Bombyx mori: one gene and its partner. The protein of the gene in region 2 interacts with the protein of the main gene of each other region in a pairwise test. Links are inferred from orthologs where the notes say so. Each region holds a gene or a part of one and is shown on either strand. Other genes may lie near its edges. The genes, in order: retinal rod rhodopsin-sensitive cGMP 3',5'-cyclic phosphodiesterase subunit delta; ADP-ribosylation factor-like protein 3.

Region 1 (6,768 bases), on a different chromosome or scaffold from region 2:
AACAGATATTATTTTCCGTCTGTTCGATCTTCAGAACGTTACTGTTATAAAAATCATATAAGTTTACGACCTTACGTCTCAAGGTGGGCGGCAGAATAGACCGTGAGCCCGTTTACTGATAGTGAAACAGAACTAAATTTTCATTTATGCAGTGCCATGTCAAAAACGTTGCAACCTTGGATAAATTTGAAAATTCAGCAAAGCACTATTCTTGCCCGGGCCTAACAGTGTTAGCAAATTCTATGAGGGAAATAATAATAAATTGAACATGATTTTCAGTGTAGCAAATGGCAATCAAATATATCATACCCCATGTTTTCGAATCGGTTCCAATACATACATCCTTTATTGCATAATTAATACATGGAAGTCTAATAAAATTATATTTAACACTTTTTTATGAACTTGCCCTATATGTAATTGTTCAACTTATTTTTCACGAATGTCAAAATATCAAATTTACTTAAAAATTTAATTCACTTCAAGGTCGATAATACAATAATTTTATAGCATTGGTCTAATGGCCTGACCAAGATGACCAGAATAATAAAATAAAAATCGGCTTTCCATTAAGCATGTTTTGTTGCTTTTTCAACTATATATTTAGTTGTAATCTCGAGTAATACAAAGTGGTTGAGATTAAATCTAATACTGTATTTTTGTGTGTGTTATGGCTAATCCCACCACTCTTAGACTGAAGACATTCCCATTGTAATCCATCTATGGGTTCGGGTAGCCGCTTCCATTTTAGCAAGCAAAAAGGAGACTGAGCTGTTGATACTATGCATTAAGTTTTAGATCTAAAATACATCCACTTATTAATAAATTTTGATAATTTGTATTCTAAGAATTACCTGCTTCTAGGGGATACAAAAATCACAATAAGGACACTTTGAAGTAAAAATTCGAATAAAATAAATGCACCACACCAATGACTAGTAAATGCACAAGTAGATTTTAAGTATCATAGATTAAATTTAAACGATTATATGAGTCGACTATTATCAAAGGCGGCAATCTGACTTTTGGACAATGATTGGTAAATCAGAAAAACGAATTATTGACTTTGTATTCCATTGGCAGTCACAAAACTCTTCGGAACGACATCTTAGATAAATAACAGGTTAACTATTAACCTTTATTTAATGCAGGTTTTGAACCGTATTCTTTGAAGGAGACGATTATATTCAAATAAATCTGTATTGACATATCAATAAAAAATTTTTGTCCAAATGTACAGATTGCCGCCTTTGATAATAGACGACTCATATATAGAACAGTCGTACTCTAGAGGTTGTGATCAGCAAATCTCCATCAAAAAATTTCGTTTCGATAACCACGTTCCCACTGAAAATAGAAAATTCCATAATTAGTATATAATAATTCGTAATTGCAAAATATTTACACATTAATTTAATGCCAATTGCATTTTTTTTGGAACAGTTTTAAAATTTCCCGCCAAAATACTTGAGCTCTGGTCTGACGTTTGACATATTTAATTAGTTGTTTGGAGATCAAGGGTTCTATCCAGGATATCCCTACTGGAAAACATTCTAATTTATCTTGGCAGCGAAATAAATTGTAATCTGATCCTTGTAACCAAGACTTAAAAGTGGACTATTAACCCTAATAAAGAAACTGGCAATTTGGCAGTTTTCACATATTCAGGTGTTATGAATTCTAATTCTATTTATATATTTATAAAATTAGAATAATTCCAAAAATTTTCTTCAGCCCTAGTGATAATTTTACGCAACCAACTCATGTTCTCAGGTCTCGGAGTGGTAGTATTAACATTTAGTTTGAGGTTATTTGGGGCTCTGGTAAACAAGCAACATGATAAATGCAGTGTACCTAGCCTAATGGGTGCCGCACTTTTTATCTTACAATAAGTATGTACTAAATAAATGCAAAACTTTCGATTAATTAGTAGTGTAGATAGGCTGTACTATGATTCCGCTCAGGTAAATATCACCACTCATATTTCTACAGAAAAGCTCCCATATCTGTCGATATTATACAATATGTAACAGACATAGGTCACATGTTTTCAGGTTAGTCACCACAAGCACTTCATAGTGTATTTGGGTTTCAGTATCACCTAAATGTGAGCTGTAGCCTCATCTGCCCATCTATACTAATTTATATTGAAATTTTATATACTATCAAACTTACTTGAGCACATTGGCCGGCATCATTTGCGATTCAGGCGCTGACTCTATAACGGATTGCCAAGTGTTCGTTGAGTTCGGGATCACATAACCAAAATCGAAAAACCACTCTTCTAAACATCTCCCTTTGAAGAGTACTTTCTATAAAAAGAAACATTTAGTTTTTTTTAGTGTTCAAATCAGTTATATATTTTCTATTGCTGTAGGTGTGAGTAGCTCAAAATCCATGTGTTATTAATGAAGTTAGTACCGAATTACCAAATAATAAAATGTTTATCTATGTAAAAATTATATTTTATATCTAATTAGATTGGTAATGTTATATTTAATTGTAAGTGTACTACCAGTTAAATGCAGGATTGGATAGTTTAAATTCTATAATTCTGTGAACATATTAATTCAAGTCAATTAAAATAAACTAGATGAATGAATTATTTTTGAAATAATATGATATAAATATGGAGCAAAGCTTGGATTCAGACAGTTCTAAGTTGTCACATCTGTGGCCAATTATACTGATAGATGCTGATGGTGATGTTATTTTAACAAGCAAACATTTCACACTATACAGTCTAAGCCAGAAATTTCTCCCATGTTCTGGATACCAGAAACATACATATAAGACAGGAAGATGTATACTCAATACTCAGATTCGAATATCAGTTTGATAAATATAATTCCACCTAAATCAAAACTATCATGACACTTTTTCTTATTCTTATTCTTGCCTTTATACAATGATGACCTTTTTTCCATTCAGGTCTATCATACATCATATTTACCCATACACACCCTTTTCACTCATATGGACTTGGAGGGAATGTGTGAAAGGGGTTCACACATTCCCTCCAAGTCTATTTATGACGTCCCCTCCTTTAAGCATCTACTGAACACTAATCAACACTGTCTAGTCTATCTAACCTACAACATACTGTTTTTAGTATTTCTGACTCATCGGCTACATAAATAATGTTAAATGATGCTTGTAGTTGGAAACTAATTCTACTTTAATTGCTTACTATCTTAACACTAGCGACCCGCCCTCGCTTCTCTTCGGAAACATTAAATTTTATTATTGACTGATAGGCCAAGCCAGCCATGTAGCGCGCGGTACGACAATAACTGCGGGAGACGCCGCGGGGCGAAGCTAGTGTAAAAAAAGTTGTCTAAGTTACTCCTTATATCATCAGCTACCTATTAGTGAAAGTCTCATCAAAATTGGTCCAGCCGTTCCAGAGATTAGCCGGAACAAACAGACAGACAAAAAAAAATTATAAAAAATTTTATTTTGGTATATGTACCGTATATATATTCATATGAATGTAGTAAAAAGCTGTTATTTCAATACTACAAACAGACACTCTAATTTTATTTATATGTATAGATGTACCTGTTCTAATCTAAATCTATCCATGGATTCTATTGAGCTGAAGTTCATTTCACGAGACACTACTCTGCACTTGAGAATTCTTTTGGGTACTCTTGCTTCGTGTTCCGCATCTGGACTTGACATGTCCTCATTATGTTGCCAAAGAATTTTTCCTGAAAAAGAATTATTAATAAAATAAATATAAATGTGCAATAGGGGAAAAATTATAACATTGCTGTTACTTAAGTATCTAAAAGTAGTTTGATTTTTATTTAAGAAACTTCATAAAATGAGAAAAAAAAATTGCCACGCTTTGCTCGCCCGCGATATGTTATTACAGTTTTGAGTATTATTATTATGTGTTGAGTATGTATATTTTATACAACAATCATCAGCAGTCTGGTGAAGCTACTTGTAGGATTTTTAAATACTAGAAAACATTTAATAAATCTTGCTCCTGGAGTGGTCTCATAGACATCCCAATGTAAAAACAATTAACCACCTTGGACCCAAGATTAGTCATTTATTTATTTATTTTAATTTTTCATTCACATCAACTATAGCATCATATAACTTTTAATTATATTCTGTTGAGTATATTTAAAAAAACAAACAATGATATACACAATCAGTAACTGACTTGTTTATCTTTGGAAATTGCATATCTAATTTACAGGCAAAACAAATTCTACTACTGATCTTAATTTTAATATATTTCAAACGTTTTTTTTTCAATGACTAGATCTTTACCTGTGTCAGCATCACGAAGATTCATCCAATTACTGACGTTGCAATGTTAAAAAATTATTGACAATTGTTAAGTAAAACACATTGAAATGATGAATCTATTTATTTTTAACGCTGTTTATAATCAATTAGGGATCACATGTTAAATACATCAATTGAGGATGTATTATTTTTACATTTTCAGGTACATTTTCAAACTTTAATTGTGGGACTATTGTGGGAAACAACAGCATAATCGTGGGAAGAAATTCATTCCAAAAGTGATGCACGGTACAAATGCTTAGGTACTGAATTACTATGGAACAGCATTATGTTTGCAGACGATGGGCCTAATAATGCAAAAATACTTTTTAAAAGAATAGGCAGGACTTGGTTTAAAGTCTCTCGACAGTCGGGTAATCATCCAAAAAGCAAAAAAAGGTGCCCTGCTAGACGTAACGCCACGACTTACTCGTCAACTATTCGATTTTAAAGGATCTCAACTCACAATGGCATTAAGGGCAATATAAGAAAAAGAACATATGTAAAGGATACATTTGAAATCCCTTCAGAATAGTCTCCACACGATCATTTTTATCTCGTTCAGTTGTTAGAACGTCAGTCATATTTGCGAAAATAAAAGTTCAATTCCAATTTTATATGATTATGTTTTTGATTGCTGATTTTCTTAACAGCGAACTGAACTGTGTTTATTTTTCTGTCTAACAAAATACTCTAAACAATTAAGTGTTTATTCTATGACTCTAAATTCAATTACGAACACAATATTGTTCACATTCACATTGAAAAATGAAAACCACTTTTTCTGGGGTTTTTTTTGCAAGCTCCATAAATTAAGTCTATGGTCTTTTTTTATGACCTGGTAACATAGACCTTTAGGTTGTTTTTGGCGGGAACGCGAGGAGTGAAGTTGTGTGATTTGTTTTATTTTATCTATTTAGTGTTTCTTCAGGTTTAAATGTGTAATAACGGTGGTTTATTAACTGTTTGATATCTGTGAAAGTTCACAAATGTGGGAAAACGAAACAAAGCCACTGGACATAGCTTCTCGGGATCCTCTATAGAGATTAGTATTATTATTAACTCCATGGGATCCACCAATTAACGTCATCATATGACATATGACATAACATCATATGAATAGAATGTAAATAGAATACAAATAGAATGTAATGAAATAAATGAGTTCAAAATCACTGCGGTCTTAATGGGACAACTTATTTTCCATAGTACGAATATTTTGGTTTTTAGATTATTAATTATTTATTGTAATTAGTGTGGTTTATTTATTGTTTTGATATTTTCTCTGATAATTAAGTAATATCAATGAAGTTACGACTGTCATGTATGTTATTTATATTATCGTAATAAAAACATCATCAAAGACCAAAGTATGGGACATCAACATTGCGGCTGCTATGGTCAATTTTTTTGAGAAATGCTCAGTAACTAATATTTTAATCTGTGAACTACTACAGAGCATTTTCCAGAGTCTCAGACTATAAATTTCAAATTTTAAATTTATTTTACAGTAATTCACAAATGTCGATTCAGTCAAACAGGCTTTTTATATGACAGCTTCAAAACGATCTTGTGCACATCAATATCAAATCGACTAAACCACAAAATCGAATCAACGATTGTGCACTTTCTTTGCCAAAAGATACAGTAGCCAATGGCCGTAACAAAAAAAAGAAAATTTCACAAAAATCTCAATTTGTAATTTTGTACATAGGTACCTACATAAAACACAATAATAGCCAATAGGTAAAATTATATGTTGTACTATGTAAATGTTGTTTGTTTAGTCCAAGAGGTGAACACAAAAAATATTTCTAAAATTTGTACCCTGCTAATGTTTACGTTATCACCGTATTTATGTAACTGGCCGTTTGAAATCACTACAGGATTATTAAGAATTTTCTATGAACCCGAAAAGCGAGTCTGTCGAAGCTTCGAGGTATGTATCTGTTTTATTATTTCACTATATTATTAATATTTAAAAATTCACATCACGTTGACCTTTAAGATTACCAAAATATATCTAAATTTTATTGTATTTGTTTCGTGCAGAAACAAAATGTTGATAGGGGTTATGAAGCATTACTTGCTATTTTAGTACCTTCCTTTAAGCAAAAATAAAGTGTTGTTTGAAAATATATTTGTTACGTTTTGTAATAAATATATGCATTACTATTGTTTATCATTCAGGGGGAGCGAAGCATCATCATCATCGATAAATTCAACCCCTGACATTGTTGAAGACCAGCTAACATCAGGAAATATTATGAAGCGAGCCGCAGCCAAGCAGTTAATTGAAAAATATTTTTATCAACTGCTAGATGGTTGTGGCAATGTTAACTGTGATAACAGATATTGTGCATCAAGTGGGGCGGTAAGTAATGAATATATATTTTTTTGAAATTAAACTAACCACCGATTTGGTGAATATATTCAAATATTGTATTCAGATTTCTAGGT
Region 2 (6,768 bases):
ATTCTTGCAAACCCATTCCATGCCCTCCTGTGGATACAAACAACACGCGTGTTAATTCATGATTCGATTTAAGAGGAATTGTGGCCAAATTCCCGATGGTAGTGCATAGGTAGAGCCCATAGCATACTAGATAGATAGATAGATAGTATACACTACCGTCCCGCTGTTACACAATGGTTGTGTGGTATAAAAAGATAGGAGCGCCGTATTCTGATTACCACCCAATCTTGAGATATCTCAAACATGCTTCATACTGACACTTTTTTAAGGGATTTTATGGCCTGGTAACTAAGACCTTTAGGTCATGCCTTATTTTAATTTATTTTCTTATTTTTATGAAAAATGTTAATATGGAGTGAAATGAAATGAAGATGATTACTTTTGAGACATTCATCAATTGGGATGAAATTAAATAAAATGAGATGATATGGGATGAAATATAATCTCAGTAAAATGGTGGTAATTTACTGAGATTTTTTCAGTGGACTTTTTGGAGGATCCCGAGAAGTTACGTCCAGCGGCTTTGTTTCATTTTCCCATATTTGTGCACTTTCACAGATATTAAACAGTTAATAAACCACCGTTATCACACATTTAAACCTGAAGAAACACTAAATAGACAAAATAAAACAAATCACACAACTTCACTCCTCGCGTTCCCGCCAAAAAGCCATACTGACACTTCATTTCAATTCTATTGACATGGTCAGTGGTACGGGCTAATCGCACTCAGTTTTCGGATTAAATATATAAAACAGATAATATATAGCCCAGACAAAGAGCAAACAAACATGCCCAGACAAAGAGCAAACAAAAAAAAAAAAGCCCGCTGAGTTTGTTTCGCCGGTTCTTCTCAGGACTGTGGCTTTTTTTTGGAACCGGTGGTAGAGTTAACATTTTCTTTTACATTTTGACATTCAACAAGTGTGTTTTTGATGACATCCAAGTTGAAATAAATGATTTTGAATTTGCTCGTCACATGAACATTCCCTAACGTGGGAATCGATCCCAAGACCCTTGGCGCAGGAATCAGAGGCACTAATCACTTCACCACAGTCATTCCAAATATTTGAACCATCAAAACCTTATCCTTTGGAAGGGCGCATCAAATCAAATGGTGACCATCTATCTAGCAGGCGACAGACGTCCACAACTGGACATAGAACTCTTCCAAGACTTACCACAACGACCTGTCAAATGAAGCCCGCATCTAGCAGATTCCCGCGACCTACACCAGTGTGTTTAGTGCGAGTTTTTTAACGTTCTCGATAGCGTCAAAGTTAACTCAAATTTGTATGGAGTTGGAACGTTTGCCTACGTTTGCCGCTAGGGGCGCTGTTCCAACTGCATACAAATCTAAGTTAACTTTTACGCCGTCGAGAACGTTAAAAATCTCACACTAAGCACACAGGTCGGTAATGACGATATTGTATAAATATAATAGACATTAACCTTAACTCCAGTACCATCAGTGGCCACACACGCTTGTATCTGCCAAGTCCTGTCTCTTATTAAGTGCAGACCGAGATGTTGAGCTATCTCACTAGCCGGTAATGCTGTGAATAAAAAAAACCCAACATGATTGTATCAGACATTTCTTCCCATGTAGATTTTGCGCATTTATTATTGCACAATTTTTTTATATTTTTTTTTATATTTCTTTTATGGATGGACGAGCTCACGGCCTACCTGGTGTTAAGTGGTTATCGGAGCCCATAGACATCTACAACGCAAATGTCGCTACCCACCTTAAGACATGAGTTCTAAGTCTCAGCTTTTACAGTGTAACGGCTGCCCCGCTCGAATTACTTCACGGCAGGGTGGTGGTACCTTTTTTTTTATTGCCTTTGTAGGCAGACGAGCATACAGCCCACCTGATGGTGAGTGGTTACCGTCGCCCATGGACTTCAGCAATGCCAAGGGCAGAGCCAAGCCGCTGCCTACACCTACCACCAGTTAAGATAGTGGAGTTGGTAATAATTTCGTGGTAGGCAGCGGCTTGGCTGTGCCCCTGACATCGCTGATGTCCATGAGCGACGATGATCACTCACAATCAGATGGGCCGTATGCTCGTCTGCCTAGACGGCACTAAAAAATAAAATAAAAAATATATAATTGTATTGTGTGAGTGCTTTATTCTTCTAATTAGAAGACATGACTGCTTGTGATTAAAATAGGCAAAACGGTGCCTATGAGTGCAGGCGTCCGATACGCTACTAGTATTAATGCAAATTAATATTTATAGCGGTATTTTATCACACAATGTCCTGGAAGTCTTTCGGTGAGCACAAAACAAATCACACCACTTCACTACCGCCAAATAGTTTATTATTTGTAAGATAAACTATCAACACAGATTACTTTTATAATTAATTGTAACTAAAACTACCAATGCAAATTACTTTAATGATTATTTAAAAGTGAAATTAAAAACACAGATTACTTCAAAAATGAATGTAATCAAATTATCTATACGCACCGGTCGCCAAGTCCTGTTTGTTGGCGTAAACTAACAGCGGAACAGCGCGCAACTTGTCATCCAGAAGCAGCTCGGCTAATTCTAGACTGGTCTCCTCCAGTCTATGGTGATCTGAACAATCGACCACGTAGATCTGTAAAGTTATTTTAACAGTTTTCTTTAATAGTCGAAGGCAGAGGTAAAGCTGGATCAGACATCCAAATGTATTACAGTTAAAAGTGAGAAAGCAAAACGCCCGTTGCCGATCTAACACGTTCGCGTGAGCAACGTCTTACAACGTCGTGTTTTTTAAATTATGAAATGGCGCAACGTCATATGACGGTCTCTAGAGTTTATCATATTTATTTTGTCCGAACGTCTTTGGACGTCTATTGGGCAAAATTCTAGCGCATCAACTTAGCGCCGCAACACATTCGATTTACATAGCCTTACCACCGCGTTGCCCGAAAAAAATCATCATAAGATGTACGTACGTTGTTAAGCTTTCTATGGGAAAAAGTGCGCCACAGTAGCAATATTCAGAAATGAGGTTGCTCACGCGAACTTTTTAAGGTTCTCGTATTACGATTATTGTTGGAGTTAAGCCGAGGCCTAATAAATAAGGCGCCCGATCATTTTTTTATGAAATACATATTATTATCTACTTCACACGTGTTCACGAGTGACGTCCACGATTTAGATATAAAATCGTATATTGAGAACCAAACCCGCAAAGATTATATGTTGCGCAATCACTGGTGGTGGGGCATCTTGTTAGTCTGCACGGGTAAGTGCCACCAGTCAGCCACCTATTTCAGTACACCTAGCTACCCTTCATTGTTCGTCTCACTTCCCGAACTAACTTTGAATAAAGCGTAGATATTGAGTGCCCATTTGTACCACAACCCTGCACAGTTTTGCTGCGCGACTACGTCCTGATTTGACGGATGACGCTTATGACCAATACAATTAAGAGTATATTTATGGCTGTACCATCTACAAGGCCCATGTCCGTGTGCTCTCTAAAAATTTTTTTCTAAAAATGTAATTTAAAATTCGTTATAAATAAATCAATAGCATACCAAAATATCGGTGTTCTCAAAATAATTCCTCCAATAAGGCCTGATCTTCCTCTGTCCACCGATATCCCAAACATTTAGCTTGAAGCCATTCGATAACACCGATTTTATATTAAAACCAGCGGTCGGGATAACGTGGTTCACGTCTTCCGAAGCCAATTGCTTCAATAGAGTCGTCTTTCCAGCATTGTCCAGCCCTAACAGCAGCAAACGAAGCTCTTTCTCCGGATTAGATCGCAGTTTCTTTAATATATCTAGCAGACCCTGAAAAAATTTACGAATGCAACCATATTTAGTTATTAATTTTATATAAGCGATGTTTAACGCCTTTCAACTTACCATAATTCGATATTGCTTGGAATTCAAAGTTTATTTATGGATCTTATTCGAAGTTGTGATATCAAGTCTTCATGATAATTAAATTCGTCTTTATTTACTCGAATTCAAGAATCGGTATATTTTTTTTTGTTATTTAGTAGAATTTGTTGACGTCCCTGTTGCTATGACAACAGCTTGTCACTTCCAACAAAGGAAAGATTTATGAAGTCAAGAGACCTATGCAGTGGCAACGTGACTCTTATTTAAATACATATAACTAACTTTTTGAGAACATATAATAACGCTAATGTGCTTTAGTCCGAACAATAGATATTAAAATTAACCACCAACATGAAATTTCCATTCAGTAACTAGCTTCTTAGCTTCTCCCAAAAAACTCATTGTGATCTAAGAACCCATCTATCACCATCAAGTGGGCCGTATTCAAGTTTACCTAAGTATGGGTTTTTTACATTACACTATTTAAATAATATATTTGGCTGTATAGTCTATACTTCTTTTGCCTGTCTAATAGGCAAAGGGAATACAAGGCAAGCAAACATCAACTTAATGTCATCAAGGACTAAACTACGCTTGTGTCTACACGTGTTGATAATTTTAACTTAAATAAGTTATAAATAAAAATCTGAAATTATGGGTAAAGTAAAGCAAGAACCGGTCGAACAGGAAGACCAGGCTGATGTCAGCATTAAAGCTGAACCGCAAAGCCACGATGAAAAAGTCGAACATTGTAGTATAATAGCGAAACCGATGGCCACAAAAAAACTCACCAAAAAGATATATAAACTTATTAAGAAATCGAGTAACCATAAGAACTATATCAGAAACGGCCTGAAAATCGTTCAGAAGCAGTTACGTCTGGGTGAAAAGGGGTGAGTTAGATTTCTCGAATTATTTAATTTCGAGGTTATGTTGATATGTGGTAACGAAGTTTTTCGTGGATTAAATTGTTAAATGTTATCTTCTTGGCTACTATACTCTAATGCTATAGTAATAAGTTCGATTTGGTAAATGTTGATTAACTTACCTTTTGTTACTAGTGTTGTTTGTCACATCGCTCGACATCAGAATTTACAAAGTTTGATACTAAATTCCACAGAAATCGCTATGTCTGTGTCGCCGTAAGGCACGGTCTAGACTTCTTCAGAACAACACTTTAATCTAAATACAAGGCAGGAAACCCAAAATTCTAAATATTTCTAATATATCAAACCTAGCCCCCTGTTTTTATTGGCCGTTGAGCATATTGTGAACCCGCGCGGGCTGGTACCATCCTGCCTATTGCTCTCACGAAGCATTCATACATTGCAGTACCTACCTACTACCTATCCTCTGATAGGTTAAAACTTCACCCACATATCTCATGGGCATATTCACACATATGATGTATGTGGAATAAAGTATATGGGCATTACATAGCTAAAATGGTCTTAAACATATTTTAAAATAAATAAAAAATCTGTATCACATTAAATAAATTTACTTAACCTTTAATAAAATGTTCACATTTCTTTTATCGACAGCATGGTTTTCTTTGCTGGAGACATTTCACCCATAGAAATCATGTGTCACCTACCTGCGGTTTGCGAGGAGAAGGACGTCCAATACTGTTACACTCCAAGTAGGAAGGATATCGGTGCCGCCATGGGTACAATGCGAGGATGCATCATGGTACTTGTCAAAGAACATGAGGATTATAAAGATTTGTACGAGGAAGTTAAAAGTGAAATAAAATTACTCGGACATCCACTGTAAATATATGAATAAGATTCTTATTTAGTTTTAATATTAAATAGTAAGACTTTCAAACGAATTAACAGTAACATTCTTGTAACAAAATCAGCTTAGAATTTTTTGTTCATTACAATATATTCCATAGTGACTGTTAAATACTAGACATGATAAAAATATACATTTAGGTAATTAACTTTATATTTTGTAATGTAACATGTAATTACTTCACAGGATCTGATATATTGTGTTTACACTGGTGAGTACAAAAACTAGACAAAACAAAAATAAATTTTCAATAAGTTTTTAATGACATTGTGTCCAAAATTGTCAGTACTACTTCATTCTCAATGTATTTTATGGTATTTATAGCTAGTACTAATGTGGATAGTTCCAAAAACAATTCTAAAAGATTTGGTTTTTTGTTTAAAAGTTTAGCGAAATATTCCAGAATTCACCACACACATGGGAGTAATGTGTCATTACTATGGAAACCAAGATATATTCACAATATTAAAAATTCTGTCCCTGTTTGAAGTAGACTAGACTGGAAATGATATATATTTGTATGTAAAGTTGTTTTAATGTGTAATTGTCATTCACCTAAAAGTATTGGACAGAATGCTATTAGATACAATTTTTTTTTTCATAACTCAGTTCAACAACTCTAATTACGTTAATTAAGATATAGAAATAAATGATAGAATAAGAATAGATTTTTATTACTTTCAGAAATTCTAAATATATATCCTCCTTATATTGTGATGCCCCTCATATAAGACGTGTTTTTCTCCGTGTGATGATACAGGGATGTCTTGCGCATTTTTGTATGTACTTGAAATATTTTTATATTTTAAGAAAACTCATATATTAGTTATTCATAAGAAAAATTGCCTTAATATCTAATTTAAATCCTCTAATGGGAATAGTAAATGTGTAACATTTTTAATTACATAATACATTGTATGGAGTCATTCAAGCACATTATAAGACAAGACTCCAACATGAAATCAATTCACCGTTTTATAGATGGGATTGTTCAAGATTATTAGATTTTTTTTTATTAAACAGCATTCCGCACTATGAATTGGAATGCAATGATTGCATAATTAAAGTCAAATTTAAATGCATAGAAGAATGAGAGCTCTGCTAGCTTCAACA

What was found.
Region 1: the proteins of ADP-ribosylation factor-like protein 3 (region 2) and retinal rod rhodopsin-sensitive cGMP 3',5'-cyclic phosphodiesterase subunit delta interact in binary tests that used the Homo sapiens proteins (3 or more experiments, as listed by UniProt). The link is inferred for Bombyx mori from reciprocal best matches to the Homo sapiens genes ARL3 and PDE6D.

What each region holds. Positions count from the first base shown.
Region 1 is NC_085119.1:5,232,536-5,239,303, reverse strand, and holds the start of retinal rod rhodopsin-sensitive cGMP 3',5'-cyclic phosphodiesterase subunit delta, read right to left. Parts: upstream 4,967-6,768; 5' UTR 4,893-4,966; coding exon 4,822-4,892; exon of another isoform or gene 4,472-4,821; intron 4,323-4,471; coding exon 4,291-4,322; intron 3,714-4,290; coding exon 3,562-3,713; intron 2,313-3,561; coding exon 2,176-2,312; intron 1,348-2,175; coding exon 1,266-1,347; 3' UTR 992-1,265; coding exon of another isoform or gene 986-991; 3' UTR 1-985. Other genes in the region: ubiquitin-protein ligase E3A, read left to right, coding at 6,213-6,247, 6,499-6,682. UniProt on the Homo sapiens protein: Promotes the release of prenylated target proteins from cellular membranes. Modulates the activity of prenylated or palmitoylated Ras family members by regulating their subcellular location.
Region 2 is NC_085132.1:10,393,674-10,400,441, reverse strand, and holds the start of ADP-ribosylation factor-like protein 3, read right to left. Parts: upstream 4,051-6,768; 5' UTR 3,880-4,050; coding exon 3,877-3,879; intron 3,802-3,876; coding exon 3,541-3,801; intron 2,613-3,540; coding exon 2,480-2,612; intron 1,557-2,479; coding exon 1,453-1,556; intron 28-1,452; coding exon 1-27. Other genes in the region: nucleolar protein family A member 2, read left to right, coding at 4,510-4,748, 5,400-5,631. UniProt on the Homo sapiens protein: Small GTP-binding protein which cycles between an inactive GDP-bound and an active GTP-bound form, and the rate of cycling is regulated by guanine nucleotide exchange factors (GEF) and GTPase-activating proteins (GAP).